2 linked regions of the Sus scrofa genome follow. The protein of the gene in region 1 purifies or fractionates together with the protein of each later gene. This does not show direct contact. Links are inferred from orthologs where the notes say so. Each region holds a gene or a part of one and is shown on either strand. Other genes may lie near its edges.

Region 1 (5,194 bases):
ATGCCCCCTTTGGGCTATTCTGCATAGTGCTGCCATAAACCTAGGTGTACAGTTTTTTCTTTGAATGCTTGTTTTTTTTTTTTTTTTTCTTTTTAGGGCCACACCTGTGGCACATGGAAGTCGAATTGGAGCTGTAGCCGCCGGCCTACACCACAGCTCACAGCAATGCCGGATCCTTAACCGGGTGAGCGAGGCTAGGGATGGAACCCGCATCTTCATGGATCCTAGTCGGGTTCTTTAACCGCTGAGCCACAAAGGGAACTCCCTTGAATGCCTGTTTTTAGTTCTTTTAGATATATACCCAGGAGTGAAACTGCTGGGTCATGTGGCAATTCTATGTTTAACTTTCTGAGGAACCGCCAGACCTCTGGCTCATTTATATGCTCACATTTTCAAGGGAGCTGGATTACCAGACAGTTCGAAACAGTTGGACTACTGCAGCCAAAACTCAGGCGAGGCCCGAAGAGATCTCATTTTTCAGAAACATCGATTAGAGCAGCTGGGCCAGTTCTGAGCTAAGCTTGTTCCAACACAAGGTTATAGGCAGGGCTTTGAATAGCTTTCTCTGCTGTTTTGCATGTCACAACATGAACTGGCTGGGCAGGAATACCTTCCTGCCTCCTAGGCATCCTTGGTTCTCCATTACGTTGCACACACTTTTGGAAAAAGAAAAAAAAATATGTTAACTACTTAACTGATAGGCTTCCCTCTTCCTGTTTTCGTAGAATTCAGATTAGCATCTGGAGTCCATATAGAAAGGGTGCTTGGAGGCCGGTGCTAGACCCCTGCCCTGGTTCATCCTTTCATGGGTGGAGAACAGAGCCTCCCAAACACTAGCTGAGGCCACAGAGAGATCTTGCAACCAGGAGAGACGTTTACCCTATATTTTACCTGAAGGCACCACCTAGTGATTCTGGCCCTAACAATCCTTAGATATTAAGAGTTGAACCTACACTACTTTGTATATTGTAGCTTGTCCACCCTGTGGGCTTGGCCAGGACAAGAGGAGATAATCCCACTACAGGCACTGTTTACTGCAGCCAGTTTACTGAGTCATGAGGCTCCTCGGACATTAACCCAACCCAGACAGTGAACTGATTAGCACTGATTTTTAAAATTTAAACCTGTTCCTGAGCCTCTTGGGAGTGCTGACCTCTTTCTTCAGTTTCTGACGCATAGACGTTTCTGAGCCACAGAAGTTCTCATCAAGGAACATTAGGGTTGTACTGCCATAAACGGAGACCACCCCAAAAGCCTTTTTGCACTTAAAACTAGAATACCAAGAATGAAGAAGTTGGCTTTTGGGGGCCAACCCAGCTGTCACTGGTCGCTTGTCTCCTGGCAGCCCTTCAGGTGTCCTGGCCTGAATCTGCTATTAGGATAGGAAAAAAGTCCCTTGGCTGGTCATATCCTCTGTAATCTGGCAGGAAACCTAAAATTTGCCGGCTCTTCTCCTCGGTCTGTTTGCTTATCTGCTTCCTTGTTAGGGAAGAGTCTGCATCACAGTGTCCGGTTAAGGGGGATTTTCACCATGACCTCACCCTACTGCAGCTACATCTTGATTTCAGCAGCTTGGGTTGGAATCCGCATCAATGAGACATCAACAACCCCTCCTCGCCCATCTCAGATTAACATCAACACGAAGTCTTTCTCCTCCAAGAGATGATCTTTGTAGGGCTCAGAGAATACCGAAGAGAGCTGCGGGCCGGTGTTGGGGAGGATGTGAAGATGTTTGGTTAACGTTTTGAGTTTGTGAGAGCAGGATGTCAAGGAAGATACTCTAGGAAAACGCACCAAAAACTTGCCCAACTCGCGCTCGCTCTTTGAATAACATTCAAGCCAATGGCCTCGAAACTAGGAGAGCGAACGATGACAGCCGGCGACCCGCACGTAACCGCGGCGGGAGCGGTTGGGGAACCCAAAGTGCTGCATCTGAGTTCTTCTCTCCGGGCCCCAGCCTCCAGGGCTCCCGGAAGCAGCCCTTGGGCGCGTAAGTGGGTGCAGCTAATTAAAGGGAAACAGAAAGGCTGGCTCTGCAAGGCGCCCAGCCCGAGATCACATGAACACAAGGCCCCACCCCTTCAACCCCTCCCCGCGCGCGCCTGACGGCGGCCGCGAATTCACAGTAGAACGTGATTCTCCGGCCCAGCGCACGGGTCGGAGGAGCCGCCGCGGCGTGCGCGCGCGCCCCCGGAGGCAGCGGGCACGCGCACGTCCCCCGGGCCACCGCCCCTCCCAGGCCCGCCCTCCTTCCCTCCCTCCCTCCCTCCCCGGCTCGCCTGGCCCGCCCTGCGAGTCAGTTCGCTGGTTCCCTCCCTCCCCCGGCGCGCTCGGGTCGCCACTGCGCTCCCCGCCCTCGAGCCGCGGTGCCGGAGCCGCCCGCCGCCCGAGGAGGAGGTGGAGGGAGCCGGAGGGGCCCGCCGAGGCGGCGGCGGCGGCGGCGGCGGCAAGATGGCGGACTTCCTGCCGTCGCGGTCCGTGCTGTCCGTGTGCTTCCCCGGCTGCGTGCTGACGAGCGGCGAGGCCGAGCAGCAGCGCAAGTCCAAAGAGATCGACAAATGCCTGTCGCGGGAGAAGACCTACGTGAAGCGGCTCGTGAAGATCCTGCTGCTGGGTGCGGGCGAGAGCGGCAAGTCCACCTTCCTGAAGCAGATGCGGATCATCCACGGACAGGACTTCGACCAGCGCGCGCGCGAGGAGTTCCGTCCCACCATCTACAGCAACGTGATCAAAGGTGCCGGGCCGGGGTCGGAGCCGGGGGGCCGGGGGCCGGGGGCGGCCGCGGGCCGGCGCGGGACCGGGCACCGCCCTCGTTCGCTCAGTCCCCGGAGTAGAAACGGGCCCGGCGGGCGGGCGCGCGGGAAGGGGGCGCGCCCCGGGCACCGACCCTGCCTGCCCGGGGTGCCCTTGCCCCCAGCGGAGGGGATGCCTGGGGGTGCCCCTTTTCCCTCTTGCTGCGGGGCAGGGATCCCGGCTGGCCCCCCACCCCCCACTCCGTCGCTGGCCTCGCCCCCTGCGAGAAGGGAAGTGAAGGGAGCCGGGTGCCGGGAGTGCGGGGTGCCCCCTCCTGTCTTCCCTCCTCCGGACGAGGCAGCAGACCCGAGAGCCAGCCCCAGACCCTACACCCTGACCCCACGCCCCAGCGCTGCCTGCCCAGCCTCGCCTTCCCGGGTGGGTGGGTGCCCGAGTCACATGGGATCGGGGCTGCTCCCACTTCCCTGCTTCCTTGGCCCTTCCAGTGTTCTGGAACCATCGCAATGAGGAAACTTTTGCCCGAGACTCTGGTCAAGGGCGAACGGTGACTGCTCTTGGACCCTTTGGGGCAAGGATATGAAACTTGAGGGTGTCCTGTTTATTGTACTGGCGTCAGGAAAGAGTAGCCCCATTTAGTTAGTCTAAAAAAGTTCGCAGCGGTGGTTTTTCGCCCGGGTGTCACGGTGGGGCAGGATGTTTGCCTGTAATCACTATGCAACACGTTCCACTCTCCTTTTGCTTAGTAACTGGGGGCCGGAGGGAAGGGGTACCACCACTTGCTTCTACTACTTAAATTAAACTGTGTGTTGATAATAAAGAATCTTTGGCCTAGAAGTGATGCAGAGCCTGTACAAGTTGAGTCAGTGAATCAGTGTCGGCTCTGCTTCTGTTTGTCAGTATTTTTTAAGTTAGATTAAGCCTTGTTAATAAGTGAAAAACGCACAAGAACTTTATTTCTGGTCTTTCAAAGAGCTAAGAGAAGAGGGATTTTATTTTTGTCGTTTGAGTGTTAATTAGCACTTCATTTTCTTTGTATCATATTTTCTACTTTATAAAAGGCATTTGCCAAAGTTGCGGTACGGAGTCTGGTACTTCAGGTGTGTCAGGATTCTCTCTGTTGCATCTGGGTAGCAATTATCTAGGAGTTCGCTATAGATTTCAAGCTTTTCCAAGCAGCATTTTTTTGAGTGGGATTTTTTTGTTGTTCAGGAAGTGCTTAAGTTACTCTCTGGTGTCACTTTTTTTTCTCCCAGGATTGAGTAGAGGAAAACTGCTTGGGGGGGGGGGAAGGGGAAGCTTTGTGAAGCTAATAACGGGGGAGAGCACTGCGCCAGGAACTCATAGACCACAGCCAGCCCTAGTACCTCTGCAGTTAAGTTATTAAAAAAAACCGGTTGTATTTATCCCTTCTTAACGTTTAGTAGTGCAACATTAATTGAGGTGTCTTTCAAAGCCGAAGACTCTGCCTAACCAGGCTCTAATTGAAGGTACCTTTGTATACCGATGCCCAAACTTAAGGAGTTCTGTCAGTGAATAGTTAACATGTTAACTGATTATAAGCCAGCTAAATAAACATCTGGCCCTGTTTTGTTTTTCATGTTTTGGTTTTTTTGTTTGTTTGTTTTGTCATTTTAGGGCTGCACCCATGGCATATGGAAGTTCCCAGGCCAGGGGTCCAATCTGAGCTATAGCAGTTGGCCTCTGCCCCAGCCACAGCTACAGCTATGCCAGATCTGAGCCACATCTGCGACCTACACCACAGCTCACGGTAACACTGGATCCTTAACCCACTGAGCAGGGCCAGGGATCCAACCTGCGTCCTCATGGATACTAGTCGGGTTCGTTTCTGATGAGCCACGACAGGAACTGTACCTGGCCCTCTTTTAACACCTGGTTCTCAATGTGCTCTGACTTCTAAGTGTGACCTACTTTGAGCCTTGATTATGAGATGAAGTCACTAGCCATCTACTTTTTTGAGTTGGCATGATCAGAAAATTGACAGCCAAACAGTTTTTCAGTTATCCAAACAAGTGACCTAAGAGCCATGTGATTATTGAGAGGGACTAAAAGTAACAGCTTAATGATAGAAATAATGGGTTTGAATTAATCACCATGAGTTTGAAATCTCTGTTTTTATACTGTTTTTGCAATTGGTCTTCCTCCTTTTAGGGAAGTCTAACTAAGGCCATCGTGTGCCTCACACTGATTTAAAGCTTGGTATTGGGAGTTTTTGAGTTTTGAATGTTTCCTGGAAGACTCAGCGTTGGGCTCAGCCGGTGCTCGGGGACCAAATAGGCCACAGGGCGACATTGTTTGTTGTTGACATTTCATAAATAAATATCTCTTTGAGGGACTCAGAAAACCTTGCAGATCCTTCTTCAGAGCCTGGACGTGCAGGCTGTACGTACAACTTTATCGTTTCTTTTTCCTTCACTAGTTT
Region 2 (4,428 bases), on another chromosome or scaffold:
GCAGTAAGCTACTAGGACTAATGAGATTGAGAAATAAACTGTTTTTACCTCCAGATTTTAATTTTAGCCCCCTTAGTGGGTCTTGAGTAAGGAGATTAGAGCTGCCAGTTGTTCCTTGGTGGTGGTTATGGAACCACCCCAGGATCCAGCTGTCAGGTTCTCGTAAAGCCAAAGCCAGGCCGTGCGCACTCACTGGAAGATGCAGTAGCAGAAGGCCCGTGTTCCCTGGGGGGTGAAGGAGAAGGGGAGCCCATCGACTCACCTCGTAAGACTCCTCCCCTGCTGCTAAATTGTCCCCCCCTCCACTTTTTGGAACCTTTCCATTCAGTACAGCCTGAGATCCTTGAAATAAGAGCAGGAAAACTGCAGGTACCACCCTCAGAATATACAGTCCCAGCTTGCCTCGTAGCCTCCGATGCCAGTTCTCAGAATCCCTAGCTAGAGTTCAGTGGAGATGGGTGAGCGGAGGTGGGGTCGTGTAGGGAAAGGGGGAGGAGAGGTAGTGCCCAGAGCCCTCCTTGCCCCCGCACGATTCCCACCATGCCCTGGGGTGTGTGGACCTCACCACTCTGCCCCCTCTTCTGTTTTTCAGCCTCTGAGAGTGAAGGTCCCGGAGATGTTACAGGCTGAGATTGGTAAGTTGGCTCCTTGGTCATCTAGTCTCTTCTTCAGAGGTGGCTTCAGGGATGGAAGGGACATAGTCTCTACCTTGGGCAGCTGTTCTCTAATAGGGGATATGGGGACCTTTCCTCCAGAGCTCCTCAAAGTAGCTCATGGACAAGCACAACCACTGGGAGCTACTCTGCCTGATCAAGCCTGTCACGGCAGGGCACGAGTTGGTCAGGAGACCAGGGTCACTTCTGCCAACCTTGCACCTGACCTCTGTGGGCCTGGGTTGGGTCATCTGTACAAAGAGGAAATTGGATTCCTAAGCCTGGTCATCATCAGGATCCCTTGGGGGCTTCTGTCTTAGAATTACCAAAACCAGGGCCTCCCCCACCCCACCCCACCCGCAGAGTCAGACTCTCTGGAGTGTTTCTGCTCTTGTGTTTTTGGTGGTGTGTGTTCCTAAACCTGTGCTGGGTGGGGAGCCAGTGAGCTAGGTGATTGCTCTGTTCCCTTCTCGTTGTCAAATCATGAGTGGAAGAGCCAAGGAAGGGTGCCAACCTGAGAGGCTAATCACAGGAGCTTTCTAGAGGGTCTTGGTTCAAAGCTGCCTTCAAAAAGAGGTCCTTTAAAGGCCTGGATGATAGGAAAGCTAATGGGCACAGACAGAGGGTAAAGAGAACTTGCTCCAAAGCAGAGCAGAGGGTGGCCAGCCACTCCCGGAGACGTAGCCTCAGCTGAGTGAAGCCAGGTGCAAGGACAGGAGAGACACCTTCCAGTTTCTGGTGGGAAGTTGGGTTTCCTGTGCAGTGCTTGCCTTTTGCAGCCTTGTGAGCTGACCCTGGGGCGGTGGAATGAGGATGAGCCTTGCAGAGGTGTGCATTTAATGTCAGAGGGCAGTGTCTGGACACAGGCAGAGAGGGGATTTAATAGTTCTCCACTCAATGGAGTGTGGAACATCCCGGAAACGATTTTGTCCTTGCCTTGGGACTTGGATGTCAGAATTCCAGTCCTGAATTCAGGAATGACCTGGTAGGTCCAGGCCTCCACTTCCCTTGGCTGACAGGAGGGCAGAAAGCCAGCCTCTGCCCCCGGTGCCACAGGCAGCTAAGAGGCTTTGAGATGCTCAGCAGATGTGACCTCCTTCTCCCGACATCCCTCCCCTTCCTGTCTGGGCTCCCACCACAGACCTGCGCCTGCGGAGCGGCGAGGATGTGCGCGCTGTTCTCTGCGAGGCTCAGGAGGCCGCCATGCCCGACATCCAGGAGCAGATCCAGGACTACAGGTGCCCGGTGCCCCCCGCCCCGCTCTCCCCTCTGCCTCCTCACCCTTGTTCTTGACCTGCGGGGTATGTGTCTCGTGTGTGTGTGTGTGTGTGTGTGTGTGTGTGTGTGTGTGTGTGTGTGTTTGTGTGTGGTGTGTGTGTTGGTGTGTGTGTATGGTGTGTGTGTCTGTGCACCTCTCTGTCAGACGTTGGTATACGTTTGTTTCTTTCGCTCTCTGGCTCAGAACAAAGCGCACGCTGGGGCTGGGCAGCCTGTATGGTGAAAACGACCTGCTGGACCTGGATGGGGACCCTCTCCGCGAGCGCCAGGTGGCGGAGAAGCAGCTGGCTGCCCTAGGAGACATTTTGTGAGTCTCCGGTTCCACTCCCACCCCTGAACATGCCCAACAGTTTGACACAGTTTGTGGGTCTATTTCCTAGTCCCTCCCCCTCTGCCACTTCTTGCCTGATCCTTCTTCCCCCGAAAGCTGGGGAGAATCCTGCCCTCCTGCTCCATTTCTCAGGCCGGGTCTGTGGGAGTTTCAAGGGAATTGTGGAGCCTGGAGCTTCTGAGGGCAGTTTGGTGGTTATAACAAACCTCGGGCCTCAGCATCGCAGTGAGCTTTCTGGCCCCTTCCTGCCGCTAAGATCGCATCTGACACTGAGTACAAGAGCCATGCAGTGATTCTCCAGGGGGTAAAGTTCCTTCAGGAGGCAGGCAGAACTGGCTTACAGGAATCAGACCGTTTTTAACTAATCATATCGGAAGACTAACCAAACTAAACTTACGAAGGAACTCCTGGCACAGCTGCTGTGAATGCCTCTTTCCAGCCCTATTTTCTAAAGTGTTTCAGGTGCCTGGGTTGACTTTGTGGGGACACTTCCAGGCTTAGAGGTAGATTTTCACCCCAGTACTGCTTCTCCACTCAGTAATTGTGTAACCTTGATCAAGCCATTGCATCCCCCTCGGTCTCATCTATAAAATGACAGATCTTGGGCTAGACAATCTCTGTAGCCTCTACTAATGCTGATACTTCAAGCCAGCAAGTTTTTATGGAGTCTCCGATGGTGCTAAGCACTGTTCTAGGCTCCTGGGATGCATTAGTAGAGAAACAATGTTTGTGGAGCTTGTGCTATTGTGGGAAGAAAAAGCAGTGTGTATTATGCAGGTAAATTGCAGAGTACATTAGAAAATGAGGGTTGGGGATCAGGGAACAGAGCAGGCCAAGGGGGCCCAGGAGCATCTGAGCCAGGGGATTGCACCTTCAAATAGCGCCTCATCCAGACGTTTACATGTAGGGGGCATGGGCATCCTCGGAAAGGGGGCATGGGCATCCTCGGAAACATCTTGGAGGAAGAGCATCCCAGGCAGAGGGAACAGCCAGGGCAGAGGAGCGACATGCTTGACATGTTTGAGTGCAGAAGTCAGAGGGGCGACAGGAGAGGCGGCCTCCCAGAAGCTGTGGACAGTTGTAAGTTTCTTTCCTCCCAGTGAATGAGGAACCGTTGGAGCCGGGAGCAACTTGAGAGTGGTGGGAGAGCAAAGGAGGGTTCCAGGCAGGGAGGTCAGTTACAGGAAGTCCCCCGGTAGGGCTGGCATGGGAGCATTGCCCCTGGGGCTGTGAAAGGAGTTCCAGGTATGTTTTGACAGGAGGGCCAACGGGAGGATTTCCTAACAATTGATGTATAGGATGTGAGAGAAAGAAAAACCAAGGAAAAGGAAAAAAACTCCACGTTTTTTACCTAAATGACTAAAAGGACGAAGCTGCCATCCGTTGAGTTAGGTACAGCTGTGTGAGAAGCGATCCTGTGGTAGAAAATCAGGGCCTCGGTTTCAGACGTGTCAAAATCTCAGATCTCTTTTAGACATCAAAGTGGAGAACCGAGTAGGCAGCTGCCAATAGGAATCTGGCATTTGATGAGAGGTCCCACGGAGAGGACATATTTCGTCTTTGAAAACAACCCTCCAACCTTCAGCTGAGCCCTGAATCTTTCTGGGCCTTAGTTTCCCTAGCGATCAGATGGCGCTGATCACCCCGATGACACCAGGGATGGAAGCAAAAAAGCTGCCAGAGCCTGTTCTGAGATTGTAGGCACCACAGAATTACATGGGATTGTTATTGACAGCATAGGCACCCTGCTTCTAATGGCTTGTATTTAAAAGAATGCAGCCTCCGTTTCATTAAATGGAGATGTAATGGATTATTTGGGTATAAATAGTATACATGTAAATAGCCCTTGGCCCATAGCGAGCACACAGATATTAATTGCTGTTCCCACTTACCTCTTTTAAATAGGTTCCCCTGAATCAGGTCCCAAGGTATTATCTCCGCTGTCTCACCGTCTTTCCTCTTGCCTCAGTGTCAGCCCGACCCTTCTAATTGAGTTCTAGGTGGACACAGGGAGGAGCCTCTTCCTCCCTAACTTCAGAGGCTGAAACAGATAGCAAGCCAGAGGCTGCATTTGCCACGCGCCCCTTCCTTTTAGCTAGAAGGACTCCATCATCATCATCACTCTCTGCCCATTGAGTCCCTCAGCGGAGTGAGGACCCGCACCTC

The links.
Region 2: the proteins of GNA13 (region 1) and ARHGEF11 purify together in Homo sapiens (affinity purification with western blotting; 3 studies listed by BioGRID). This does not show direct contact. The link is inferred for Sus scrofa from reciprocal best matches to the Homo sapiens genes GNA13 and ARHGEF11.

The regions. Positions count from the first base shown.
Region 1 is NC_010454.4:11,963,847-11,969,040, reverse strand, and holds the start of GNA13 (guanine nucleotide-binding protein subunit alpha-13), read left to right. Parts: upstream 1-2,127; 5' UTR 2,128-2,451; coding exon 2,452-2,734; intron 2,735-5,194. UniProt on the Homo sapiens protein: Guanine nucleotide-binding proteins (G proteins) are involved as modulators or transducers in various transmembrane signaling systems.
Region 2 is NC_010446.5:93,132,169-93,136,596, forward strand, and holds part of ARHGEF11 (rho guanine nucleotide exchange factor 11), read left to right. Parts: intron 1-592; coding exon 593-635; intron 636-1,794; coding exon 1,795-1,891; intron 1,892-2,115; coding exon 2,116-2,238; intron 2,239-4,428. UniProt on the Homo sapiens protein: May play a role in the regulation of RhoA GTPase by guanine nucleotide-binding alpha-12 (GNA12) and alpha-13 (GNA13). Acts as guanine nucleotide exchange factor (GEF) for RhoA GTPase and may act as GTPase-activating protein (GAP) for GNA12 and GNA13.